3 linked regions of the Nothobranchius furzeri genome follow. Each later gene encodes a partner of the first gene's protein in a complex. Links are inferred from orthologs where the notes say so. Each region holds a gene or a part of one and is shown in the gene's direction. Other genes may lie near its edges.

Region 1 (6,079 bases):
AAAGCTAACCTAAAGTGTTTTGTTAAAATTCTATGCACATTAGCCATGCCCAACTTCAAAGTGACATTAGCCATTTACCTTTGCTAACTGCCTGGACCCAAATGGCTAACAGAAGCAGCACGATGCTGTTACAAGCAAGCCGATTTGTCATTTATTACTTGGGCTCAATCCATCGTGGGGGGTTTCGTGCTAAAAGACATTTCAGCCATCCAGGTAACAATTTCTTCTATTCTTTCTTATCCTGGCATGATCTGACGATTCTTACTGAGGGAAACACGCAATTCACGTATCTATTATCCTAGGTGACATATTCAAAGGTTTTTTTAATACACAAAATAAAGAATAGTGGTAAACTCGTGTATAGATCTATTGAGAAACTCGCAACAAATGCAATTACAAATATTTTGAAAGATAATTAAAATATCTATTAAGAACTTGATGAAATAGCATTTGATTCAAACTTTATTTATTGAAATACAGCAAGGCAACAGCACTACCACTGTGCCAACATGCAGCCAAAGCATAACAGATTCAAGTAAAATTTAAAATGTAGTATGTATAAAAATGAGTGAAATTAACATGTGAACTGATATGATATCCATAATGTTACACCTACTCCTACCCTAGGATCCACCCATCCCTTCCTCTATTCCACTGCATCTCTTTGTGCACTTCCATCTATGTTGCACTCTGATTCATTTCTACACTATTTTCGCATACTCCTCTGTCGGAGCCTAGTGTTCTTTCCTCTAATCAGTTTATCGTTAGAATCAGATGCAAGTACTGTTACATCCTTGTTTATAGATCGTTTTGGACAAAAGCATCTGCCAAATACATTAGCACAATGCCCTTTTTGATATCTGGAGCTCAATACAGATAAATGCAAAAGCTGAAGTAGAAAAATGTAATTTGAAAAAATCCTTAATGCTGTTGTTGGTAGACAGAAACCATTGCTAGACATCTGACTTTTTCTCTTTGTCTGAGAAGAATTAATTTTGATGTATATCTGAAAGTGATAAACATCCCAGCCATTAAATGTTCAAATGACCGTTTGGAATCAAAAGCATTTTTAAATACTCTAAACCTGGGGGTTTCCAATTGAAATATCAATTACAGTATTAAAATGTGTTTTTACTGATCAGAATGCACTTCTAGATATTATTTCAGTTACGATAAGTAAGAAATACATTTTGATAATGGGAATTATTATAACTTTATCTAAAATTTTAAGTGAATGGAAATGTTTTGCTTCATTAAATGCTATCACGGCTTGCTAAATACAGCAGGTTGCAGGCTGCAACCTTTGCTAAGCTAACAAGCTAAAGTAAAGGAACTGCGCCAAAATAGAGGAGATAGTAAATCGCTGTGTTGCACTTCGTGTACTTTTTGTAAAGTATCAAACAATTTTCCTAAAACATTTAAAAGCGTTTGTTTGTCAGTTAATGTCCGGTTGTTAAAGCCCCAGCCAGCAGGGGGCGATATACAACCAGGGCGAGCAAAGTTTTTTCTACCACTTGACTTCCGGAAACGAATTCGTTGTCGTTGTATGTTCGTTTCGTCGAAGTAGCAAACTTAAAACGTGGTTGTTAGTATTTATGCTGGTGCGAGGTGCTACAAATAAACAAACCAACGAAACTCCACGTATTTTCCACCGATGCTGGATATCGAAAATATGATGCAGTTTTCCCCGAAATGAGTGAGTTTTGACGTGGCTAACCCTTTAGCTTTTGAAGCTAACTCGACCTAGTTGGGAGAAAAGTTCGCGACATTTACCACATCAATACAGCTGAAGAGACTGCGTACGCAGCTTGACTGTGACGGAACTACGACTCTGGAGTTGTAAACAGCGGACGAAATCATGGGTTCTTCAAAGAAACACAAGGAAAAGAGTCGCGATAAGGACGCAGAAGAGCGCCGTCGTGAACATAAGAAGCATCGGCACAAAGAACGAGAGAGAGACAGAGATGCCTCAGATCGGGATGGAACTCGAGAAAAACGAAAACGCTCCAGGTCCAGGGAAAGGAGCAGACGGGATAGTCGCAGCAAAGGGGAAAAAAGCAGTGGCGAGACTCGTATAAAGAGGGAGAAATTGGATCCTGGCTATGAGGAAGGCAGTGCAGAAATACAGCCTCAGAGTGCAAGTGGAGATGCTTCCCTCAGCGTCGAGGAAACGAACAAACTCCGAGCCAAGCTGGGTTTAAAGCCTCTGGAACTCAATGAGAACAAGAAAGAACTTGGAACCAAAGAGGAGCCACTGGTGGCTGAGACCATCAACCCTGTTCTCATCCAGCAGCAGAAAGAGATGAGGGAGAAGCTTGCAGCTATGAAAGAAAAACGTCTCCTCAATCAGAAACTGGGCAAAGTCAAAAACCTTGCAGATGATGATTGGCTCGATGACACAGCCGCTTGGATTGAAAGAAGCAGAAAGCTGGCACAAGAGAAAGAAATGGCAGAGAAAAGAGCCAAACTTCTGGAAGAGATGGATGAGGAGTTTGGTGTCAGCAATCTGGTTGAAGAGGAGTTTGCTCAAAGTAAATTGGATTCTTATTCTTCACGGGATCTCAAAGGCCTCAAAGTGCAGCACAAGGTTGATTCCTTCAAGGAGGGCCACACTGTCATTCTGACCCTGCAAGACAAAGGTGTCCTGGAAGAAGAGGAGGATGTGCTTGTGAACGTGGGACTGGTGGACAAGGAAAAAGCAGAAAAGAATGTGGAGTTGAAAAAGAAAAAGCCTGACTACAAGCCCTACGAAGAAGAGGAGAGTGTGGATGACATGGTCACCTTTAAGCCCCGCACTGTACTTTCAAAATACGATGAAGAAATTGAAGGTGAAAAGAAAAAGAGCTTTCGTTTGAGCACATGGGGATTTGCTGATGGGGAGCGAGAACGGGAGCTGCAGGCTATGAAAGAAACGCTGCAAAACCAGGCCCAGTCTTTGGAAATGCCTGCTCTTGCTATCGCTTCGGAGTATTACACGCCTCAGGAAATGGTTGGCTTTAAAAAGACAAAACGCCGTGTGAAGAAAATCAGGAAGAAGGAGAAGCAGACAATTGCAGATGAGCTCCTTGATGACACTCGCAGCTCTGACTTTGGCTCCCGAGCACGAGGTCGGGGCCGCAAACAGGACAACGAAGAGGAGAATACAGGCAAGGGCGAGCGTTGGCCACATGAAATCCCCCAAATGTCTGATGACATCAGGACGGCAGAAATGGAAATGAGTGATGAAGAAAACTTCACGCCTCCTGAGCCAGCTGTAATTGAGGAGGATGAGGCAGAGCAGGAGCTGCAGAAACAACTGGAGAAACAGAGGAAGCTGAGGCAGAAGCAGCTTCTCAAAGACTCCGGGGAGAAGGTGGCAGAGCAGATCAGACGGTTTGTTAAAGGCGGTGACGAAAATGATCCTGACAAGAGGAATAACATTGTCTTCAATGCCACCTCTGAGTTCTGCAGAACTCTGGGTGATATTCCAACGTATGGACTGTCTGGAAACAGGGAAGACCAGGAGGATATCATGGACTTTGAACAGGAAGAAGAGAAAGATGATGCTGGAGATTCAGACTCCGAAATGGATGAAAATATTGGGTGGAGCACAGTTAACCTGGATGAGGAGCAAAATCATGCTGAATTTTCCACAGCCTCTGCCACTATCCTGGATGAGGAACCCATCGTGAACTCTGGCCTTGCTGCTGCTTTACTGCTGTGCAAAAATAAAGGGCTGCTGGACACGCAAATGCAAAAGGTGGCTCGTGTCAAAGCAACAAAGGGGTCCCTGCCTAATGACAACTACTGCATCGAGGACAAGATGGGCTTTGATGATAAGTACAGTCGCCGGGAAGAATACAGAGGCTTCACGCAGGATTTCAAGGAAAAGGATGGATATAAACCCGACGTCAAAATTGAGTATGTGGATGAGTCTGGGCGCAGACTCACCCCAAAAGAGGCATTCAGGCAGCTTTCGCATCGTTTCCACGGCAAAGGTTCTGGAAAGATGAAAACTGAAAGGAGGATGAAAAAGCTGGAGGAGGAAGCGCTGCTGAAGAAGATGAGCAGCAGCGATACACCTCTGGGGACGGTGGCTTTGCTTCAAGAGAAACAGAAATCTCAGAAAACGCCGTACATCGTCCTCAGTGGCAGTGGGAAGAGCATGAATGCAAACACCATCACTAAATAAATATGTAGGGGAAAATGATTATTGTTGTAGCTCTTTTGAGATTATTGCTAGTTTATGGTCTTGCTTCAGTGTTGATATAACAATAGTATAAGAAAATCAGTACAGGTGTAAACTATTTCATTTGTCTTGTGAATTTCCTAAAAGAACAATAATTTAAACCACAAATTGTTTTTGAAACTTTTTTTTTCTGCTAAAATATGATTAATGGATTCAGTTATTATTGGAGGTGAATTTTTGAACAATATATGGGCAATTTTTACAAATCAGATAAAGGAAAAAAATTTCTGGTCACAAAACTAAAACAGGATAACTTGCATCATTGCACCTTTAAGCTCAAACAAGAACAACGTTAAAAAATGGGATGCAAGCATGTTTTTCAAAAGGTCATTAGAAATTTTAAATGCTGATCAGTTTCTGTTTTATGTCACCTGCTCTTTGTGATTAATTTTCTGCCTCAGATAATATACGAGTGAGAGTTGTTTCATATTTGACCTTAAACTGGGAACTGAAATCTTTGTAAAACCACCCTAGGTAAAACTGGAGAGCCTGGATCATTCACTGAAACAGCTGTTAGGATAATATCGTTTGATCTGTCTTTAAATTCTGAATAAATAAAGTGCATCTGTTGATGATTTAATGTCTAAACATAATTTTTAAAAGTTATACACTTATATTGTACATAAAATTTGCAATTCAAATATATATATATATATATATATGAATTGCAAATTCTATTGCACAACATGTCATAAAACACTTAAAATAACAAAGCTCAAAATTTAGGGAGTTCAAGACATTTCACTTTTTGTAGTTTGTCAATAGCTGTGGCTAATAACAGTATTGAAAATCATATATAGTATATTTTTTGTTATTTGATAATTATTGAAATAGCAGTAGTTGTAGTTCAGTAAATATTTAGGCCTGTTCAAGTTCCGGTTGTGTGTGCGCAGAAGGCTTTTGCAGCATACCACGTGGCTACAGCTCAGAAATCTTTTAAATGAACTAGTTTCTTTTTCCGTTCATAAACTAGTATTTCTTAAACATTTAATCGCTGTTTAACCAGCCTAACCTCCCTACTTAGCGACTGCAATTAGTTTTTGACGGCGACCGTGAGCGGAACCCTGTTCAGCAATTGGGAGTTGCGGCCGAGCCCAATTCCGATACACAACCTGTAGCAATTCGCTCAAAGCTAACCGCTAACGTAATCTAACGTCACGTCATGATCGCTGAGAGGTAAGTGATGTTATGTAGAGCTACGCAGCCGGTTTGTTGCCACAGTTATTCCACGAAGAAATTAAACGACACGAGACCGCACAGCTGAAATCTTTAGAGGCGATGTGTAAGCTCGTTTTCCAGCTTTCTGACACCGTGTAGCTCACAGGCAGCTTAGTGGCGGGTACGGAGAGTTTAAGTAGCTTTAATTTTGGGAGCCGGTGTTGTGCCATAAATCGATCACTGCCAAAAAATGATTAGCTTAGTTTTGTCCAGTTCGGAAGTTGTTTTAAGTGTTGCTATTTGTCTTAAACGTTCACAATGAGGATATATTAATCCTTTTTGCAATATTTGCGATTGAAAGATGGTTTGTGGTAAGAACTGGCTTTCTTTATGTTACAGCCTTGATGCTAAAAAAATAAATAAACAATGTAAAATGGCGCCCTGTATTGAATGTAAACGTTGTATAAATGTAAATGAACAATTCTCCAGCGATTTGATTTTTTCCCCTTCCTTTCTTTAGTGGCTAATCATTTTCTGGCAGCGAGTCGATTTATGGCACAACACCGGCCTCGGTTTTCTCGGTGTAACCTACATCTGCGGTGATCATTTGATACTTTTGTCTCGTTTTAGCAAAACAACCATTGATTTTGATCAACGTGAAAGGCTAACGGAATATTTAAATAATTAGAAACG
Region 2 (5,859 bases), on another chromosome or scaffold:
GGTCCGTCCACCCAGCGCTGGTTACCACATTCATAAATTCTGACCCAATCCACACTGAACCACAGCACGTCCCGAAAGTAGCCACCAGTCACAACCACGTTGTCCCCTAAAGAGTGAGAACATGTACATGTATGCTGTTAGAACAATGTCCTGAGATGTCGTGCAGCAATTAAACACAATAACATCATAATATTCACCACACACTCATTACCCACTGCAGCCACAGAGTACTGAGTTAGGTTCTTCCTCTGCAGAGGTGCACAGCGCTCCCATCTGCCACTGTGAGGATGAAGCTGATACAGCGCCTGTTCCTCCTGATCATGAGGCCCACCCAGGATGTAGAGGCTCTCTCTGGCCCTGGTCCTCCTCATTGACCTTCCCACTGACCAGGATGGTGGGAAATACTCATTGACGTTCCTGATGAGCCTAGCTCTGGGATCAGAGCCTTTCATTGTGGTCAAGAGCTGAGAGACAAATGGTAAGGAGAGAGATTCAGGCCTCACCAGCTCAACGAGCTCCAGGAAATGTTCCTCTCGTTTAGGGTCAAAAGACACCCAACGCAGGGTGGCCTCCAGAGCCAGATCATCTTTAAAGATGGCCAGGTCATCACTAGCAAGGAGATCTGCTAAAAAGTCTTTGGAAAGGCATAAGAAATCATCTAGAGTTGAGAGAGCTGAGAAGTGTGTGAGTGCCACCTGCCGCGCTGCGGCATGTAGTTGGGAGAAACCAAAATGCCAGGCGTAGGCCATCATTCCCAAACAGTTGCTGAGGTGCAGCTCCCGCTCCAGAAATTTGCAGCACAGTAGCCTGGGTTTCTCCAGTTGTAAAAAGTCTGCAGTCTCTAGGATTCCCAGAACGTTTTCTCTGTCCAGTGCTAGGCTTTGGGTCACACTGTAGGCCATTAACACTTTAAAATATTGGAGAGCAACACCTTTGATCTCTACCTGCGTCTTGTTTCGCTCCACACCACAGCCAAAGAACAGAGCCCTGAAATAAGGACTCTGGAAGGCCAGACGTTGACGGTTGACATAAAAGCTCTCTCCTCCTACCCGTAGGGTGGTATCTGGGATTAAATCGGTCTCCGAGTCCTTCACATGTAAAACAGATTCATCCATGTCTGTTTTGTTGTAGCTCACGTAGAAGTCCCCTCTGCAGGCGGTGTCATTGCAAACAGCCTCACCAAAATATCTTGACCTACTTGTGGTTTGCAACCCACCAACTGGTACACAGTCAGGGTTTATTAATAGTAGTCATGTGTGGGTCATGACCAAGCTAATTCAGTGTGCTGGCTTGTTCATGTCAATGACTGGAGCAAGCTCCATGCTGAGAGCCTTTATTGGTTATTGATTTTTTTCCCAATAACAATACTGAAACTCAAAAAATTAGAATATGGTGCAAAAGTTCACTTATTTCAATAATCCATCTTAGACTGAGAGACCATCTAAAGGCTCGGGAACCCTTTGCAGATGTTTTTGATTAATTAGCTGGTTAGAGTGCGACACTTTGAGTCTAGAGTATTGAACCTTCTCGCACGTTCTGTTTGTCTGAGATATTTAGTTTTAGATGTTTTCGTAAGCTGTAAGCCATAATCATCACACTTATAACAAATAAATGATGGAAATATCTGGTTTTGCATAGAATGAGTTTATCTCATGAATTTGTTTCACCTTTTAGGTTTTTATACTGAAATCAATAAACTTTTGAACCATGTTCAAATTTTTTGAGTTTCATCTGTATACATTTTATTTTAAAAAGGGTTTCATTGTGGGGCAGTTGGAAGCACTGGTGACTCACAGGAACAATGTCATAGGTTTAAACCTTGGCTACGGCCTTTCATTCTCTCCATGCATGTGTGGGTTTGCTCTGGGTACATGCTCCTCCAGCAGACCAAAAACATACAAGCTGATCGGCAACCCCAACTGTCTTTAGTTGTGAACTCAGTATTAGCATAGTTTTTAACACTGTTACATACTGTTTTGATTGTGAATTTAGCTAAATAATAAACGAAAAAGGCTGTTAGAGCGAGTTTCCCACTCGCTGATAACAAAAGTGTTATAGCGTTTTATTTAGAAAGAATTTACAGGCAGTTTTCTCTTCTCCATCTCCATCAACCAAAAGAAACAAAAATACAGATTATGATCCCCCCCCCCCCCCCCCCCCAGTTTCATTGCCATGAGACTAGAACGTTCCCTTCTAGCTTCTTAGAACCTGATTGTAGTTGCAGTTTATCCCCACTGGAGGGCGTAGATTTCTTCTGAGATTGTAGCCTGTAGCTATTAGCTAACGCACAATGCAGCTGAGAAAGATGAACGTTTTTCCCAGCCTGACAGCGTATTAAGACAATCACATGAGTGTGTATTTAACTCATTACGTTTTAGTAGAGATGGTAGTCCCGAGACTTTTACAAAAATCAATATTGTTTCATTTTACTTTTTATGGTCTACAGCTGGACCTCTCTGAACCCTCTGAACGCGTTATCTCATTGGATCACTATCATTTCCTAGGGTCTAAGATTTACTTCCGGGTCAGACAGTAAATATGGCGGTGAGTTCGTAATCCATGGCTTTCATTATATTGTGTTACTTTTTATCTTTTCACATCCACATTTGTATTGTTAAGATTTAGCTTTGTTTTCTGAACAAAAGTCGACTTGAACAACTTTTATTTTGCTGTGACGGTAGACGTTTTACTTAAATAACGTGGCTAGTAGTGAGCTAAGCTAAGGCTACGTTTTGTTTGTGATTAATTAGTGACTTAAGACAATGTAACCTGGCCTTTCTGCAGGATAAAGAAAAGAAAAAGAAGGAGAGCATCTTCGACTTGTCCAAGTATATCGACAAGACGATTCGGGTGAAGTTTCAAGGTGGACGAGAGGGTGGGTGGACCAAGCTGTTGCTAACCCTTTCATTTCGTGCAAGCAGTAAATGTCTAGATTTCCTTATGTGGAAGCCTAAAATTTGTGTTTTCTTCTCAGCAAGCGGCGTTTTGAAAGGATTTGATCCTCTGTTGAACCTGGTGCTGGACGGCACGATCGAATACATGCGTGGTAAGAAAACCAAAACTCAAATCCAGCCAGAAAACTGCTCCTCAGTCTGAGTCCATGTTTATATCGATGAAGGACTTTTCCTGAACACATTCCGAAGTTCCCCAACACACATAACTATAAAGTAATAATTCGCATTAATTTCGCCCCTACCGTCATCTTTAAAACGATCTACAGTTAGTGAAAATAAGCATGTTGATCAAAACATTATGTTCATGTTCAGAGCATGTTTAAGAGACATTTTTCTACTTCACTTTTTTGAGTTAATTTGTTTTTCAGTAAATTATCAGGAATACGTGTGTGTGTGCGTGCGTGCGTGCTAATCTTGTTTGACAATAAAAGCAACATAATTTTAGATTATCTTCAGTGGACGAACATTACATATAATTACATGTAGACAAAAACATGTTGCTGCTATGTTTAAAAGAAGAAAATTCACAGGCTCTAAATAATTCATTCTAAAACATCAAATAATCCGAGAGATTTTCTGGGCTTCAAATTGAAAAAAGGTTTCCAAATTTTCAAATCACGCCCTTGTATGTAAGATTAATTTTTCAGTTTCATAAAATTAAGAAAGTCTGTGTGTAAAAGCATCTGTGGAATTGTTTTCTTTTTGTACAAACAAACAGAAAACATTGTGTAGACACCTCTCTACTGGAACAGTGTGTTGTTTCCAGGTAAAGGTAAGTAGCTGGTTGTGTTTTTTGTGCTCTTACCCTGTAAGGTTACTCCACCTATCTCCTCTACCATCACTGTGGATTTGTTGAAAATGTGATGCTAGTTTGAACAAACACTGGAAAAATGCTCAAGTTTCTAATTCTCAGTTTAGTGTTTGGAGGGGAGGGTTGAGCTAATATTCAGAGGAGTCATGGAGGCCACTCGGGTGGAACAAAAACCAGAAACATGTGGGGGGAAATTAAATTGATTTAAAAATCCCCAAACAAAAGATGAGTGGCTTTTTTCAGTTTGAGGTTTGTTCTTTAGTGGTCGAAGCAGATTTTTAACAGTGATAACAAATCAAATGTTGTTGGTTTTTTATCGCTGTTACAAGTGGTCGTCTTGTGTGGACTTAACATCTTTGAAAAATACATCTGAACTGAAGATGGTCAAAACAAAAAAATCAAAGGTCTCACCATTCATGTTTTAGTTTTGAGTGCATTCCGGTAAAATGCTTGGTGGACACCCAGCTGCTTGACATTTCCAGTGTGAACGTTCTGTGGCTTTGTGTGCAGATCCAGACGACCAGCTGAAGCTGACAGAAGACACCCGACAGCTGGGGCTGGTGGTCTGCAGAGGAACCTCTGTGGTGCTGATCTGTCCTCAGGATGGCATGGAGGCCATTCCTAACCCATTCATCCAGCAGCAAGATGGATAACCCCCATGCTGCTGCGTGGCACACTTTTGATTAGACTTTTCTTTTTTAACATTACAGGACACTTGTCATTCAGACGACAAACATGTTTTAAGTTCATCACTGGTAAAATAAGGCTCCGTTGCACTTCAGTTTTATTTCCCTGCTAATTTTGCTCATTTTTGTGTTGTGAGGAGCTCCCAGTTCTGAAAGTGTTAAAACAAATTTCTTGTTATCTGAGTGAACTTTTTACTATTCTTTGTTTTTGATAAGAAAATAAAGTGGAAAAAAAGCTGAATCTGAATGTTTTTCTCCTTTGAACACAGAGGACGTGTTGGAAAGTTACACCAGATATGGTCTATTCGAAAGGGTGACAAGGATCTGAGTGGTTTTGTTGACCCGACAGACGTCCCCTACCTGCTGGTTGTGACTGACTCGATGGGTCTACAGACTACTGAACTCTGCAGTAAAAAAAAAGATGAGTGTGTTTAGGTTTAAAGGGAGTTTCTGTGTTTGAAGATAAACCGTTCAAGCTTGTCTGCACACTCACAAAGACACATATGTGGCATTAACAGCTTTTAAGTCAGTAATGCATTAAGCTGGGGTGGGGGTGTAAAGTAATGATATCTATGGATTGTTCCTTTTGAAAGAAAGGATCTTCAGTAGATTTTGGCGTTGGAGAAACGCAGAAACAAAATGCTGATGAGTTTTAAGTGAGATAACTGAAGCTGTTTTTTAAAATGGCAAAATTTTTACTTAACTGGATGTGAAACCTCCTAAAAGTAGGTTAGAATAGTGACTTATGGAAGTCTGAGAGAGAATTGATGGTTTGTCAGGTGTTTGAGCTTGGAGAGGAGTAAAAAGGCCAAATTCCAGGAAGCTTCGCCCCTCCCCTGCTGCTCAGTCACTGTGTCAATGGAGCACGTACAAGCAGGCTTTTAGACGGAGCAGGGCGCTCCACTAAGGAGCATGCTGCAGTCTTATCGCACCTCTTACTCAACTTGATAATGGTGGATTTGAGGGGATTCTACACTTTCCTGGAAACTATGGAGATTTTAAGGTGACAGGAGAGATGCCTGTGTACACCTGGGTGTGACGGAAGGGATCAAGACGGATGGAAGGAACTCAGGACTGGGATTTCTGAGGCTAAACAGGACCTCTTTGGGTAAACAGGAGTAATTTACCTGCTGGACACACACGGCACGCCCCTGCCTCAGGTGCAACAAATAGTGGATCCTTTGGCCCCGTTGCCTCATCCTCCATCTGACTTTCTGCTCCTATGTGCGCCGAGAATTGCGGGCGGTCTCCGGTGTCAACTTTCAGAGTAATGAGCAGGGACAAAGGTGAGTGAGGCTGCTTCAGTCACAGGATAAAGCCTGTATTGTTTATCGCTGCACGCTGATGCTCAGAAGGAAAGAAAATGTAACATCTTTCAGTAACAAAATGTGAAACTGGGTTTTAGCGA
Region 3 (5,906 bases), on another chromosome or scaffold:
GCTAATGCGGAGGTGGGAGCTAAGCTAACGGAGGTAGCAACCTAGCTACAACCGGAGTTAACTGTGCACAACATCAGAGCTTCTGAGTCAGAGATACGCCGGGCTGACCGCTGGGTAAAACCGGGTGGAACACAGAGGTCTCCGAGAGCTCCCCAAGCCGGCAGCTGCACAGCAGACAGAAAACGCGATCAGACAGAGATGTGCTGGGCTGCGGGGAGGGAAGAACCGGGTGGAAAACATCGGTCTCCCGAGAGCTCCACAAGCCGATAGTGGGAACCCAGCTCCACCAACATGTTATATTTCAACCCATTTTCTAAAGTGCAGCATTATGTTAAATGCACTGGGTTTTACCCTATTACATTTACATTTCATGGTTAAACAGTACATGTTAAAATCTAAGCTCAGCTCAGCAGTGACCTAAAATACATAAATATAATTTTACTTACCGAAAATAATGAAGTGGAGACTCCTTGGACGCTCTATTAGTGCAATTAATGCCACAGCAAGTCATTTTGTCCAACAATTACACAAAAAATATCCAAAAAGAATACACACACACAGAGACTCAAAATCCCGGAGCAGTTTCCAGGCCAGACCGAGGCTCTACTGAGGCCTTTCCACGGAGCTAGCTCTGTGGTCACGTGGGTCAGATGCCAGAGGTGGAAAGAGTACTAAAATTTCCTACTTAATTACGAGTACCAATACTTTGATAATTTTTTACTCAATTACAAGTAAAAGTACTTGCCTAAATTTTTACTCAAGTAAAAGTAAAAGGTATCGTAAACAAAATGTACTCAAAGTAAAAGTTACTTAGTTACATTTTTGTCAGCGTAAGGATGGCTACATCTAAGTAGTGCTAAATCGCAACGGCAGTTCACAATTCGCTTGTGTGTGCGCACACACACACTCAAACACGCACGGCTTGAAGGAAGGATTTCTATCCAATCAGTGAGAACAGGACGTGCACATTGATTGGACGAGGTTTTTCTAGGATGGTAAGTTTCAATTGTGATTCAAATTATTCTTTATTTTGAGAAAAAATAATTTTTTTAGATGCCATCAGCATGTGAGGTATCTCAATGTCCTCATGACAAAACTCTAACATGAGACTGTGCTCTAACCTGTCACATAGCAAGCCTAATGCAGTCAAACATGTCAGATGGACCGTATGACAGCTGCTAACGTTGGCCCTGCCCTACTTTACCTCTACATTACAGTTCCTTTATCCATGTCCATCCTAGAGATCCTCTCTGACCTTCATGCTTATTTAGAGCAGCTGATTTTTAAAGCTAGCAGAGTTCATCCTTGGCAGTGGGTTCACTCACTCATTTAACCCTTCACCACTGAAATCAGTTTGTTCATTTCAATCCTCCTAAATAATCCTCCAATCATCCAACTGGAATCCTTAAGGGTCCCGTAACATCCATCCTGTCAGAACAGGCCTTGGGAGCCCAGGTGTTACTAGAACTAACGGTGTCTCCTCACCAGCGTGAGCCTCCAAACATGAACTTTAAATTCATGCATTTATCTCCTCTTGTAACACTTTAACATGTTTTAAAAGGCTTGTATCATGATAAGTTACACCTCCCAGACCAAAGATAAGATAAAACATTATCATAAACACTGCAGAGACGTCATTATTTATGAAATATATGTTATTTTCCTGAGCCGTTACTTCACCCAAGATATGAGATGCATGGATTTGATGAAACCACGCTGTCTCATGCAGTCCTATATGTGTAACACACACACACACACACACACACGCACGCCATGACTAATTTAACTACATTGAATTGCTTTAGTAATAATTTAATCTCTAATTCTGGAGTAAAATAAAGAAACAAGCTAAATCATCACATATCTGTGGCATCAAGGAGCAACTTCTGAGTTCAAACACAGGGATGGAGCACAATGTTTACACCTGAACAGTATCATGATGTTTTAACTCACAGAGGCCTGCAGCTCTTCTGTTTATGAGCAAAGCGCTGATAATCCGCTTGTTATGAGCACTAAACAGTATTTTGCCGCTGCCGTGCGGAGCGGTAGGGAAACACATTTCAAACACGGAACCGAGTCTCGCTACCGAACCGAGCAGAATTCTGATGATGTCACACTGGTGCGCGAAGGTGCAGGTTCCAACCACAGGAGAGGAGGGAGAGAGGTGATAAACAGCGAGTTGATCGACTGAACTGATGATGTCTTTGAGCAAAAGTGTACACCCCCACACACCCCCGGTTTAGATGCGGTCCTCATGCAGGTGTCTCTTTCCGTTCTGACGCTGCTTCACGTAATATTTTTAATTTATTAAGCCTATAATTTATTTTTACTCAGTAACGGATATGATTTAAAATGTAGCGAATTACAATTCTTTTTAAAAAACTTACTCAAGTAAAAGTACAGATTTTAAAAATGACTTAAAAAGTATAAATATACAAAAAAGCTACTCAATTACAGTAACGTGAGTAAATGTAATTCATTACTTTCCACCTCTGTCGGATGCTCGAGCATCAGGAAGCAGAAAAGGAAAGACAATAGAAAATGTTTAAAGGGAGGAAAACGTAGACCAAAATGAAAAATAAATTTAAAAAAGGCAAAAGCTCAGGAGCACTGACAGGAAGAAGAAAGCAGAGCAAATATTGGAGGCACTCAAAGGGAGAGAAAGACATGAATAAAGAGGAGGACTAATAAAAAGGGAAAATAACTCATGGCAGAAGAGGGGAGAGTTTTGTAAATCCAATTAAAAGTAAGATTGCCGAAATTTATTTTAAGGGGGCCCCATGTCTGTGCTCGCCTTGGGCCCCAAATTGCTAAATGCGCCACTGATAGGGCTATAGTGTGTTTCATTTCTGTACCCAATATTTTGTCTTTAGGGTTGTAGCTCTGACATCACCTACTCACACGTTTAAACAACTTTCCAGATCAATGTTTGATGATAACATTTGGAGGAATTTGAATAAAAAAAACGTCACCGCTCGACCCTCCGCGCCCCTTCCTGCGCGATGATTCGGCGTATGATTAGTCTTGACTTGTCTCCGGTGTTTTGGTGCGGTGCGGTTTGATGCTCTTTCCGTTTTATTTTTTTACACAGCGGCGCAAATAGACAACCGTTGGAGGGATTTACCGATTTTTCTGCTGGACAGATAGAGACCGAGTCCGGGACGAAGCATGTCCACCGCGCTGGAGAGCTACATCAACCGTATCTTGCTGCTAGCATGCTAACTGCATGCTTAAGAAGTGCTAGTTAGCTTAGCGCGCTAGCTTCGATGTTTATGTAATTTGTTGTTGTTTAGGTGGAGTTTAGAGACGGTAAAAGCTAAAGCGACAAAAAAACTACTCATTTTTATTTAGAACTGAATGAACATACCTGGAATAACTTTTACGTAGCAGTTCAATTTCAAATCAGTGTTTGCATAAAAAAAAATCACTGATAGAATTTTATATGATCAGATGGCGTCAAAACGTAGATATTAACGGTTCTGATCTGCGTTAGTTCGGTTTCACGGGTTGTGAATAAAATATATTTAGTTTGTTTCTGATTTAAGATGTCGGGTTATTTAACTGAAGCACACCCATCGTTGTTGTTCGGGTGAAAACGGAGAAGCTAGACGTAATTTACTGATGAGTTGTGCACAGATGATGTTTCCTTGACTCCAGCTGATCCAGGAACTGTTGCCATCGTCACCTCAGACGGGAGGATGATCGTGGTGAGTTCACGTTTTCAGCTCAGCTGGACAGCAGAGAAGATGATACGGTTCTGGTGTTTAGATGTTTGAGGCTCCAGCACAAGGATTTCCCCTCCACCTGAACCGAAGCCTCATTTAAACCGGTGTCGGTCACAGGGGATTTAGTTTTTCCCTCGACTGTAAATCCAGAAATCTAGTCCTGTTCCCATCACTACAGATGCTGACAGACACGTTTTTACTTTTATGGTCAGATTTTTACTGTTTTGGGGCATAAAACTGCAGATAACTGAAAATCATTTTGAAATAAAAGTTCAAGTGTAATCTGAACTATTAGTATTTTATTAGCCTGGTTGTTTTAAGTATGATTCATTGTAGCTCAACACCACCAGCGTGTTGATGAATAATAATATTAAGTTGCTTTGGAATCCTCTGACTGAAAGGTGCTGTACTTATTTATTTATATTTATTTATTTATCATTTGGGTGTTCAGGGCACTTTGAAGGGCTTTGATCAGACCATCAACCTGATCCTGGATGAGAGCCACGAGCGCGTGTTCAGCTCCAACCAGGGGGTGGAGCAGGTGGTGCTGGGCCTCTACATCGTTAGAGGAGACAACGTGTGAGTCACCTCGGTCAAACTAAAACTAAATGAGAAATGATGACCCCTAAGGACGTCCCGGTGCACGGGGAGCTCGGCTGCTCCTCGGACAGCTTCTAACCGTTTCTCGTGTTTCTGCTCCAGCGCCGTGATCGGGGAGATTGATGAGGAGACCGACTCCACGCTGGATTTAGGGAACATCAGAGCTGAGCCGCTCAACTCTGTTGTACACTGACCTTTGAACCCTGCTGTCTCCATGGCAACCCATCACAGTACAGCTCAGTTCTGTTGCTGTCGTGTTCTGGGAGGCGTGATGAGTGGTGAAGCTGCAGAACCTCGATTGTTCTGTTTCTGTTTGTATTTTTTATAAATAACATGTTGGATTTGTTTTCTACTTCATGTTTTTGTCAGTCTGAGATCATTTTAATAAAGTCTGATTTGTTAAGCTGTTTATAATGAAGTCCTCCGGTCTCTAAACATCCAGACTCTGGAGCAGAACAAGAAAACAACACATAAACAATGAAACTTTAATAAAATATGTGGAAAAACAAGATCGTTGCCAAAGAAACATTAAATAGCGCCAACTCTACGGCTTTGTTCAAACAGCTCATGGTCTCTATTTTAGTTCTGATATCTTTAGTCATGAATGAGTAATTATTTCTCCATCTGGAAGAAGAATGAGGATCTGTCCTGTTCTCATTTGTCTAGCATCGATTAATCGGGGCTGCCTATGGACAATCGTTAGCATTGACTGCCGATGCTCGCTTGGATTAGAGGCGATTGAATCCACTTGAGAATCGTTCGTGGAGCCGGGAGAGGAGGGGAGCGCTTTGTCAAGCAGGAATTTATCAGGAGAGCCCCGATGTTCAAGGTTCAAGGTTGTCTTTATTAATCCCCAAGGGGGAAATTGAATTGCCTTGGACAAGTAAACACAACATGCACATCCACACAATAAAACATTCACTGGTCCTAATAAAATATGAAAATATCAAATATACAATCATACGAAATGGTCATTGTAAAAACGCACTGCAGCTGGAATAAAAGAGTTCCTAAAACGTTCAGTGGAGCACCGGGGCGTTAACATTCGCCCACTGAAAGAGCTCCCGAGATCCTTAAAAATGTGGTGAAGGGGGTGATCCTCCAGAGTCATAACTGTCTTAAGTTTACGCTTAATCCTTTTGTCGATGATCATGTCAAATGAGTCCAAGCGTTGCCCAACCACTGAGCCAGATTTCTTGATCATTTTGTTGATCCTGTTTTTGTCCTCAGCAATGAGGCTCCTGCCCCAACACAACACAGCATAAAACAACACACTGGACATAATCCCCTGATAAAACACATTCAAGAGCCTCCTACTTATATCAAAGGATCTTAGCTTCCTAAGAAAAAACAATCTGGACTGGGCCTTTTTAACAACAGCATCACTGTTCCTTTTCCAGTTTAACTTATCGTCGAGGTACACCCCGAGATATTTATATGTCTCCACAGTTTCTACAGGTTGACCTTTGATGACCACTGGAGAGAATGTTCTAAACTTGCTTCCTGGATCCACCCCCTAGGTGAAGCCTACAACAGAAGGACAGTGTGAGCGTCCTGTCACAATGTCCCGATTGATCATGC

Evidence for each region.
Region 2: sart1 (region 1) and lsm7 share a complex: the UniProt entries of both Homo sapiens proteins name them as parts of the U4/U6-U5 tri-snRNP complex. The link is inferred for Nothobranchius furzeri from reciprocal best matches to the Homo sapiens genes SART1 and LSM7.
Region 3: sart1 (region 1) and lsm8 share a complex: the UniProt entries of both Homo sapiens proteins name them as parts of the U4/U6-U5 tri-snRNP complex. The link is inferred for Nothobranchius furzeri from reciprocal best matches to the Homo sapiens genes SART1 and LSM8.

What each region holds. Positions count from the first base shown.
Region 1 is NC_091744.1:19,554,374-19,560,452, forward strand, and holds sart1 (U4/U6.U5 tri-snRNP-associated protein 1), read left to right. Parts: upstream 1-1,529; 5' UTR 1,530-1,858; coding exon 1,859-4,171; 3' UTR 4,172-4,803; downstream 4,804-6,079. UniProt on the Homo sapiens protein: Plays a role in mRNA splicing as a component of the U4/U6-U5 tri-snRNP, one of the building blocks of the spliceosome. May also bind to DNA.
Region 2 is NC_091748.1:58,319,744-58,325,602, reverse strand, and holds lsm7 (U6 snRNA-associated Sm-like protein LSm7), read left to right. Parts: upstream 1-2,434; 5' UTR 2,435-2,538; coding exon 2,539-2,544; intron 2,545-2,784; coding exon 2,785-2,875; intron 2,876-2,974; coding exon 2,975-3,046; intron 3,047-4,275; coding exon 4,276-4,418; 3' UTR 4,419-4,692; downstream 4,693-5,859. Other genes in the region: kelch-like protein 23, read right to left, coding at 1-106, 212-1,115. UniProt on the Homo sapiens protein: Plays a role in pre-mRNA splicing as component of the U4/U6-U5 tri-snRNP complex that is involved in spliceosome assembly, and as component of the precatalytic spliceosome (spliceosome B complex).
Region 3 is NC_091741.1:34,218,888-34,224,793, reverse strand, and holds lsm8 (LSM8 homolog, U6 small nuclear RNA associated), read left to right. Parts: upstream 1-2,543; 5' UTR 2,544-3,168; coding exon 3,169-3,199; intron 3,200-3,666; coding exon 3,667-3,707; intron 3,708-4,176; coding exon 4,177-4,304; intron 4,305-4,427; coding exon 4,428-4,518; 3' UTR 4,519-4,739; downstream 4,740-5,906. UniProt on the Homo sapiens protein: Plays a role in pre-mRNA splicing as component of the U4/U6-U5 tri-snRNP complex that is involved in spliceosome assembly, and as component of the precatalytic spliceosome (spliceosome B complex).